Oryzias latipes: one gene and its partner. The protein of the gene in region 1 binds, or shares a complex with, the protein of each later gene. Links are inferred from orthologs where the notes say so. Each region holds a gene or a part of one and is shown on either strand. Other genes may lie near its edges. The genes, in order: gdf11 and fst.

Region 1 (4,423 bases):
TAATGTCATCTGGCGAACCTGTGCCGGTGCATTGAGTGTAGTAGATGATTAGTTGGTGAAACTCAGTTTAAAACATTCATGCCCAGCAACCTTTAGTCAGATTTCTCCAGAGTATTCCATCCATCCATTTTCTTAACCTTCTATATCCCTTGAGGGTCAAGGGTCATCAGAGCCTGTCCCAGCTACGGGCGGGATACACAGGTCGCCAGTCTGTCACAAGGCACACAATCACTCCCACACATACCAAGGGACACTGTAGAGTGACCAATTAACCTATAAAGCATGTTTTTGGACTTTGGGAGGAGTGCCTAGAGAAAACCCACTCATGCACATGCAAACTTCACACATTTGAACTAGAACCTTCTTGCTGGAAGGCAAGAGCGCTAACCACTGCACCACCAGAGTATTCCAATCTTCTGAATCCTGTTTTTGTAGGTTTTATGAGCTGGAGCCACACGCTATGTAAAAATAATAACAAAAAGTACTTGAAATCAATTAAACAGTGGGCCCTGAAGCTGAAAGTTAACATTTTTGAACGGAATAATGGAAATGAGAAACTTTTTCACAATTTTCTTTTTTTTTTAGAAAAGGTCTGCATATGACCAATTACCAACATTTATTTAGACATTTAAAAATAAAAATAAAGTTATCTAGAAAATTCAACATTTAAAATGATAAAGGAACAAACCTGGAGTTGCTCCACACCTGCAACAAGTTCATGCTGCTGTGAAGATGGAAGAGCTCTAAAGCTGCAATTCTACTTTCTTCCAGCAGGTGTCAGCATTCAGTCGATGTTTCAGAAATGTGCACACAAATGAAAGTATCTGGATAACATCATAACGCTTTACAAGATTTAGAGGGAAAATACAATTAACATCCTCTATTACTTTAAGTATGAGAAACGAATTTAACATTTTGATTAAATCCTGACATGTTTACGAGAAAAATGTGAGACAAATTCAATGCAGAACAGTAAAATATATTAAAACAATAATTAGTGCTCTTTTTTTTTCACTGGATCCAAGCTTTCAAACGAAATGCAAACTTGCCTAAACAGATATTTTGTTGTATGTTTCTCTAACACGCCTTAAACCCTAATTTCTGTCACAAGCTTTTATGTCTTTTCAAGCACATACGCTTTATTTTTTTTAATATGAACGAAATAATACTACTTTTCAGCTTGGAGAGTCTTTCTGTGTATTTCAATACATATGAATGTATCTGCAAAAAAAAGCGCACATGGCACCATTATTTTAAGTGTTTGTGGACAGATGGACCACTTTGCAAGACGTTTGCTTCTCAGATGATTAGAAAAGAATCTTTTTAACTCATATGAGAGGAAAATGAGCTTTTGTTTGTGCACTGTAAAACATTTATACTTTCGCAGGAGTGCGCGCCCTCCCTTCGCTCCATCCCTCTTGACTTGGTGACAGACCTAAAAGCCTTTTGTTGAAATCTTAGCCAATAGAGACGGATTACGACACCAGGCAGCTGTGATATATAAAGGGCCCTTTTTTTAGGCGCACTTGCACATTTTTCAGTGACACCCCTGAACATACGCACACCTCCATGGATCAGTTTGCACAGGGGACCCCAAAACAACCACTGACCTGTACGACACGTGAGCTGGCTATGCATTCATCACTCAGATAACCTAACTTTCAGCCAAAACAGTTTGTACCGTGACACGCCGGGACGCACTTTTTTCCTTTTTGTTATTTTCTTTTTCTTTTCCAGCCACACACTACTAAAAAAGCATCTTTGGATTCATATTTTTTTGGATTAGATGTATGTCACTGATTGTGTGCCTTTTGTAGGCTGAGGAGCGGCTCATAATCGAAAGAGGATATATAACGGAATAAATCGAGTCCGAAACAAGAGAGGGGAGAGGGGAAAAGTTGCCTCTCCTGGTGTCCGCGCATCGTCATGCCGAAGTACAGCTTTCTGTTGTGTTTAGTGGTGCTCATCTCCCTGGGAAAGTCAGGGAGCGATGAGCCCAATCTGCAGCTTCCTCCTGGCAGCGAGACGCCTTCGGATGCCGGACTGTCTCTGCTGGACGAGGACGCAGGTTCTCACGAGTGTTCCGCCTGTGTTTGGAGGGAGCAAAGTAAAGTATTAAGACTGGAGACCATCAAGTCCCAGATCCTGAGCAAGCTGCGTCTGAAACAAGCACCTAACATCAGCCGAGAGGTGGTCAATCAGCTGCTGCCCAAGGCGCCTCCGCTCCAGCAGCTCCTGGATCATCACGACTTCCAAGGAGACGCGACGTTGCAGGATGAGTTTATGGAAGAAGACGAGTACCACGCCACCACGGAGTCCGTGATCACAATGGCCTCAGAGCGTAAGTAACTATTTACTGCCCCGCAGCGACGGTCCCTCCAAATGCGCCCTGTGCGTAATTGTGGAGCAGATCGGTTCAAGTGATTCAGGCCTGCTGCGCGGACAGCGGAGCCGCTGTGGTCACTCAAGTGACCTCACCTACTTTTTTTATATTGAGATTGGGGCTCTCTTTGTGTGTCTAAAGCCGGCTGATAAAATTAGACAAGTGACCCCTCTCAGCTGTTCCCCACAGCTGTCAAAATGAGGATTATATGAGTTAACCTGAAAAATCAATCATGAGAAGGAGCTTAGGAAAAAAGACAGAACCAACACCGCCTGTGTGCTTGGTGATGCACCCCAGTGCGCAGAATTTATTCCGATCCATCTGTAAACTTTCAGTTTGTTCCATGCGCGTTTGACGGACAGGAAAGGCGTGGCGTGCGTGTTTGAATGTCAAGTGCATTATTAATGATAATGGAGCATTTGGCAGACGGTTGCCTCAGTTTACCCTCTGCGTCCTCGTTTGCATGATGTGGACCTTAAAACTCTGGAGTTATGATCGCATCACGAGGCTCTCTGGTTATTATTGCCTCCCAACAATTTGCTCGCTCTCTTATACTTTCCCATAAATCCACAGGCAGGCCCCTTGGAGACATTTTATAAAATTACTGCTGAACCCCGGCAGCTGGGCTCGATCGGCCTTTTATAGGAGCCTTTACCGGTTTCCCTGCTGTTCATCGCAATGAGAAAAAGTGTGTCCAAAAAGCTGCCATTGTTCCCCTCATGCAGCGGGCCCCCCTCGGTCGCACTTGCCTTTTAAATGCGAAGTTTATAGGCACAGCTAGTTTTTTTTAAACCACTGGTACACAAAGGCAGAGGATCACTTAGGGTCGAGGGGAGTGTGTGACCTTTTCTTGACGAATCGAGGGGTTCAGCAACCTTTACGCACGCAGTATATTCTTCACGAGGCGTATCTATCTATGTATCTATCTATCTATCTATCTATCTATCTATCTATCTATCTATCTATCTATCTATCTATCTATCTATCTATCTATCTATCTATCTATCTATCTATCTATCTATCTATCTATCTATCTATCTATCTATCTATCTATCTATCTATCTATCTATCTATCTATCTATCTATCTAAGTTTTTTAATGGACCATAATCTATAATAGCACCATGATTCTATTCTCATATTAATTAAGGATTCTTCTTTGTCGTGGATATTGTGTGCTGCAGCTCTTCCTCTTCTTTTGCAGATCATATTATCTTCTGCTTTTTATAGTTCAGTCTTACAGATAATTTTTATCAATAAAAGACATATTTGTGCCCAAAATTGTCCTGTTTATGCAATATGTTTGACCCCATGTCGCCTATTGATGCTAATATGAAACAAACCACTTCAGCTCCAAAATTAGCATCTTCCCTGAAAGCAAAAACATAAGTGATTTTATTCTCATTTCTGCATAAATTCAGACATCAAGGAGTCAAACCTTGATCAGTAGTTCAGTAATATTTAATAAAAATGTGTTAAATTATAATAGAAGCTCTTTCTCAATTTTATTCTTTTTAAACAAGAGAAAAGTTAGAAAGTTGGGAAGAACATTCATTAACCTCTAAGGACCTACATGCATCACATTTGGGGTTATATTACCACAGAAGTTAACTCCGGAGCCCTGTACCAGTTCAGAGGGTTAGCTATAATATTAGCTCAGGTTTTGTGACGTTTCTTCCCTTTTTCTGTTGTCACAAACACAAGCAAAATTAAGTGCTAAATAAAACCTAAATAAAGCCTGTTAACTGTACCATTTTGACGGGCTCATGCCAACCAGAGGAGCTAACAATCCAACTCTCATAGCCAAATCTTTCAGGTTAGAGCAAGCCTCCTCTCATCTTTTTTCCCAGCAGTTTGGATCATCTGCTCCCCGTCTCATCTCCACCTTCATCCCTGTTAGCCCCTCATCCCCTTTTGCCCTCTTTTTCTTCCAGCTTTCCTGGAAGAGTTGAGAGAGAATGAGTGTATCTCTTCTTTTTTCTTTTTTTTTGCCTGTGGCGTCTTCAGGATCCCACAGGAATAAAAGTGCCTTTTTCTGTCT
Region 2 (4,305 bases), on another chromosome or scaffold:
CTCTTGAAGTTTTGACACTTGTTGACACATATTTCTTGCTTTAATTTTAAAAAATAAGTCCTATGCTTGGCAAAGCCAGAAAGAGAGAACTAAGGAAGGCTGTATAAACTAAAAAAACAACATGATCTAAAGATTTTGTCCCTTTTTCTTCTTTGAAACCCTCTAACAAAATAAATGTTCAAAGTTGGGCCACATGTTGAAATTAAAATTAAATGACACTGATTAAAGCAGATGCAGACTGTTTACCATTTCAAAACGTTTTTTGTACTCCAAAAAAAAGAGTATTTCATGAATCTTTTGACATTTTTTGGAACTTAGAATGGAAAAATTGGGAGGGGTGATCAAAGTTTATCACCCAATTAGTTCATTAACAATAAAATTCAATTACTGTAGACATTCAAACTTGATTATACATTTTATTTCCAAGCATTTCTGTCTGCTAGAAGCACATAATGAAGCCCTCGCCTTGAATTGAGGAGGTGACTGTGCCTTCCAGTCTGGGCCTGTGTGCACGCTACCCAACAAGTTTCCTGATTGTCGTGCGTGATTGTGCTTCTGAGAATAACCTTTCTGAAAATATGGAAACGTACTAGTAGTGATACTTGTTCAAACAAGCAGGGTACAACCTGCATCTTGTCGGAGATCGTCCTCTTTCAGGAGGATTTTCTTTCATATTTTGCAAGTAAACGAGACAGAGCGGTGATGTGTTGACGCGGATCGGCGCGTCCTCGGAACTCCCGGCGCGCAGCAGACGCTGCGCTCTGAGCGGCACAGGGACGCGGCACCTGAGTTCCGCCGAAGAGGTCGCGCAAGGACTTCTGAAGGAGTTCCGCGCGCGTCTGCTCCAGCCAGCGGATCTGCGCGCGCGCACGTGTGTGTTTGTAAATGTGTGTGCGTTTCATTCAATGAAACGCAACACCCCAGTTCTCGGTCTCATCGGAAACAGGTTTGATTATATTTAAAAGCTTGACCCGGGAAAGAAACCCAAACAACTGTCTGTTCTAATATTAGCCGCGCGGCTGCCGACTACTATGAATTCTATTATTGTCTGAGCTCGGATATGTTCTCAAAGGCAGCTCATCAAAAGATTTACACTTTTGTCCGCAGTTGGTGGACAAATATCAGTTACCAATCATCTTATCCCTAGATTGAAGGGACTGCGAGATGATCTGATGGGTTTCGTTACCCTTTTAAAGAAACGCAATTCTTCAAAATATAAATTTTAATATTAATGTTAACATTATTATTGCAAGAAAAAAATAGGGAATCCGAGTCTCATATAGTAAACAAATGTTATACTTTCATATTTTTCTTTTCTTCACTCCTCTTATAGCTTCAGGATTCAAACGTCTGGCTTTGCATAACAAATATTTCCATGCTCCTCTCAGCGCAGGGAAGGGAAAGTTCCTTGTAACGATGTCACCTGACTGGGATTGAAAGAACTTGGGTAAGAAAAAAAAAAAACACATCTCCCCACCCCCACAGAAGAGGGGACCGCCCACCACAGACAGTCAACCCGAGACCCCATATAGATTTAAAAAGAGAGGCTGCATTCTCAGACTGACACTTATTCAGCCCTGCCACCTTAAGCAGATTACTTTTGCGCTGCTTGTGTCAAATACGTGGCTCACTTTGCCTCTCCATCATGCTTGGGATGCTCAATCACCACCTCCACCCGGGCATTTTTCTCTTCTTCATGTGGCTTTGTCACCTCATGGAACATCAGAAGGTTCAAGGTAAGCTCTCCTTGTCTGTCTCCTGACTTTTTTTTTTAATATGTTTTAATGTAGAACCTCTAAACGCGCGGATGCAGGAATCTCGTTGCCAAAGGGAAACTTTCCAGAGTGACTTCTGGTTCTTCTTCCTCCCAACGACCAAAACTCTGTGCGCCAGACGGCGTGCGCGTTAACCCTATATAAAACAGGTGCCATGTGGTAATGGCTTCAGACTTCAAAGTGGGGAAAATGGCACATTTCTGCAGCCCTCGGCGGGCTCACGCGCTAGAAGCCGCCACGCAGCGTTCTGTAAATATCTGCACATATTTCAAGACCTTTATGTGAGCGTTGAAAGTGTTTAATGAAGCTGTCGCCTGCCCTCCAACAAACTTCAGAGTGGCCACAGATAGCTTTATGAGCAGTTTATATTTATTTATTTATTTATGGCACACACCCTTTCAGCTTTTGCGCTCGAATTTCTTCCTTTTTCCTTTTTATTTTTGCTTATGAAATAAATGAGCAAACCTCAATTTATGTTGGGGTTCCAAATTCCAAGAGATCTACCATAAAACATCATGTCATAGACACATTATACCAACATAAAAATCAAATTTTATAGCAATTTTGTTATAGTTTTTTGAAAATGTGTCAAAGGTTGACATTTCTGTTTTTTTATGTCATATGACTTTGAATTAAATTCCCCCATGTGTCGCAGACATGTCAGTGTCTGGTACATGTCTGGGATATTTTAGTGAGGCGTTGGAGATGGTGGTTTGTTCAGTCTTGCTGTAAAGACCGTGGTTTTCGTAATGATTGAGCTTCGCTGTCTAGACGATTCAGTTTGTGCGCAATGGCAACAAGGAGATTTTTGGAATAAAAGAAAAAAAGATTCTTTTTTTACTTTTCTAAGTTTGCATTGTAAGAGCTGTCAGTCACAGTTGGGATAGGCAAGTGTTAACAGTCTTGGAAAAAAAATCTGACAAAATACCACCGGGAGGGTGAAAGAGGAGGGAGGGAGCGTTTCAGATAATACAATCCGCCTGCGTGTCTGGTGTGTCTGGGTCTGTGATACACGTTCAGCGAGCGATACTCAAGATTCTTTTCTTTTAATGTTGTTGCTGTTTGCAGCCGGGAACTGCTGGTTGCAGCAGGGAAGGAACGGGAGATGTCAGGTCCTCTACATGCAAGGGATGAGCAAGGAGGAGTGCTGCCGGAGTGGAAGGCTGGGAACGTCCTGGACCGAGGAGGACGTTCCCAACAGCACGCTCTTTAAGTGGATAATCTTCAATGGCGGAGCTCCAAATTGCATACCTTGCAAAGGTGGAGGTGCACTCATTTTCCTTGGTTTTTCGCATAAACTAAAGCACACCACCAATCAAACCGATTATGTGATTAACGCATTCAGCCAACGTAAAGTATCAATGTGTCACTCAATGTCAATCATTTTACGCACACATTCCTTAACGCGGGGGTGTTTTTCTTGTAGAAAGCTGCGATAATGTTGACTGCGGACCTGGGAAGAGATGCAAGATGAACAGAAGAAGTAAACCGCGCTGCGTGTGCGCTCCAGACTGCTCCAACATCACCTGGAAAGGACCGGTCTGCGGCTTTGACGGGAAGACCTACAAGGACGAGTGCGCTCTCCTGAAGGCGAAATGCAGAGGCCACCCCGACCTGGACGTGCAGTACCAGGGGAAATGCAAGAGTAGGTGTTTTTTATTTATTTATTTATGTTTTTTTAATTAACTTTTGAGTCTTTTCAGGCTGCAAGTGAGAGGAGCAGGAAGAAAGAGCGGAGTGGCTGCTGCATTGATTTTCCCATTGACATCATTTTCTCTTTGTCTCCAGAAACGTGCCGTGATGTCTTGTGTCCTGGCAGCTCAACATGCGTCGTGGACCAGACAAACAACGCATACTGTGTGATGTGTAATCGGCTTTGCCCTGAGGCGACGTCACCTGAGCAGTACCTGTGTGGAAACGACGGGATCATCTATGCCAGCGCCTGTCACCTGAGAAAGGCGACCTGTCTCCTCGGCAAGTCTATCGGAGTTGCGTACGAGGGAAAATGCATCAGTAAGTCTGTAACAAGAGATGTGAAAGCGTCACACTGAACCCCCTGACACAGCGCCTCCTTGCAGCCACTTTGATTGTGGCTACATTTTCTCCCTGGCCACCTCTGCAGTAATGCACTTCTCGTTTCTGCCAACATTCCAGTTGGGAGGAGGTCTCAGAGAAAGAGGGTGTTTGGTACTTGCTTGTGTTTGCTCAAGAAATGATAGACATCTTATTATTTCCTGATGTTGGCAGCACTATCCCATATGGGAGAGAGTGAAGGCGAAGTGGAGGAAGTTAGAGAGCAAAACAGGGGAGAGCTGGGGGCCATGAAGAAAAAGCTGCAAGTTTTAGGCCAAATGGTTTCCTATCTAGATAACAATCAATCTGAGCCATGTATTTTCTGGAAAAATGCTCACCCTGAATGCAACTTTGTGTTCCTGATGCATCTGATAAGATAGATGCTGTTTGTTTGTTTTTTCCAGATAAATGCACAGAAAACCCGAACTAATCTAATTCTGTTAAAAAAGTTTTTAGA

The links.
Region 2: the proteins of gdf11 (region 1) and fst are in contact, whole or in part, in a crystal structure (PDB 5JHW), measured with the Homo sapiens proteins. The link is inferred for Oryzias latipes from reciprocal best matches to the Homo sapiens genes GDF11 and FST. Residues at the interface, in NP_005802.1 of Homo sapiens: Asn299, Leu300, Gly301, Leu302, Glu310, Arg312, Asp328, Trp329, Ile331, Ala332, Lys334, Arg335, Tyr336, Lys337, Tyr347, Met348, Phe349, Met350, Pro354, His357, Gln361, Ile380, Asn381, Leu383, Phe385, Asp387, Lys388, Gln389, Gln390, Ile391; in NP_037541.1 of Homo sapiens: Leu34, Arg35, Gln43, Val44, Leu45, Tyr46, Lys47, Thr48, Arg60, Ser62, Asp72, Asn73, Leu75, Phe76, Met79, Ile80, Leu134, Asp135, Arg149, Gln153, Pro154, Glu155, Val180, Val181, Asp182, Gln183, Tyr188, Val190, Thr191, Asn193.

Annotation. Positions count from the first base shown.
Region 1 is NC_019863.2:27,063,897-27,068,319, reverse strand, and holds the start of gdf11 (growth/differentiation factor 11), read left to right. Parts: upstream 1-1,534; 5' UTR 1,535-1,926; coding exon 1,927-2,341; intron 2,342-4,423. UniProt on the Homo sapiens protein: Secreted signal that acts globally to regulate anterior/posterior axial patterning during development. May play critical roles in patterning both mesodermal and neural tissues. It is required for proper vertebral patterning and orofacial development.
Region 2 is NC_019867.2:5,754,439-5,758,743, reverse strand, and holds the start of fst (follistatin), read left to right. Parts: upstream 1-1,489; 5' UTR 1,490-1,645; coding exon 1,646-1,736; intron 1,737-2,843; coding exon 2,844-3,041; intron 3,042-3,201; coding exon 3,202-3,420; intron 3,421-3,563; coding exon 3,564-3,788; intron 3,789-4,305. UniProt on the Homo sapiens protein: Multifunctional regulatory protein whose primary function is to antagonize members of the transforming growth factor beta (TGF-beta) superfamily including activin, myostatin, GDF11 or bone morphogenetic proteins (BMPs).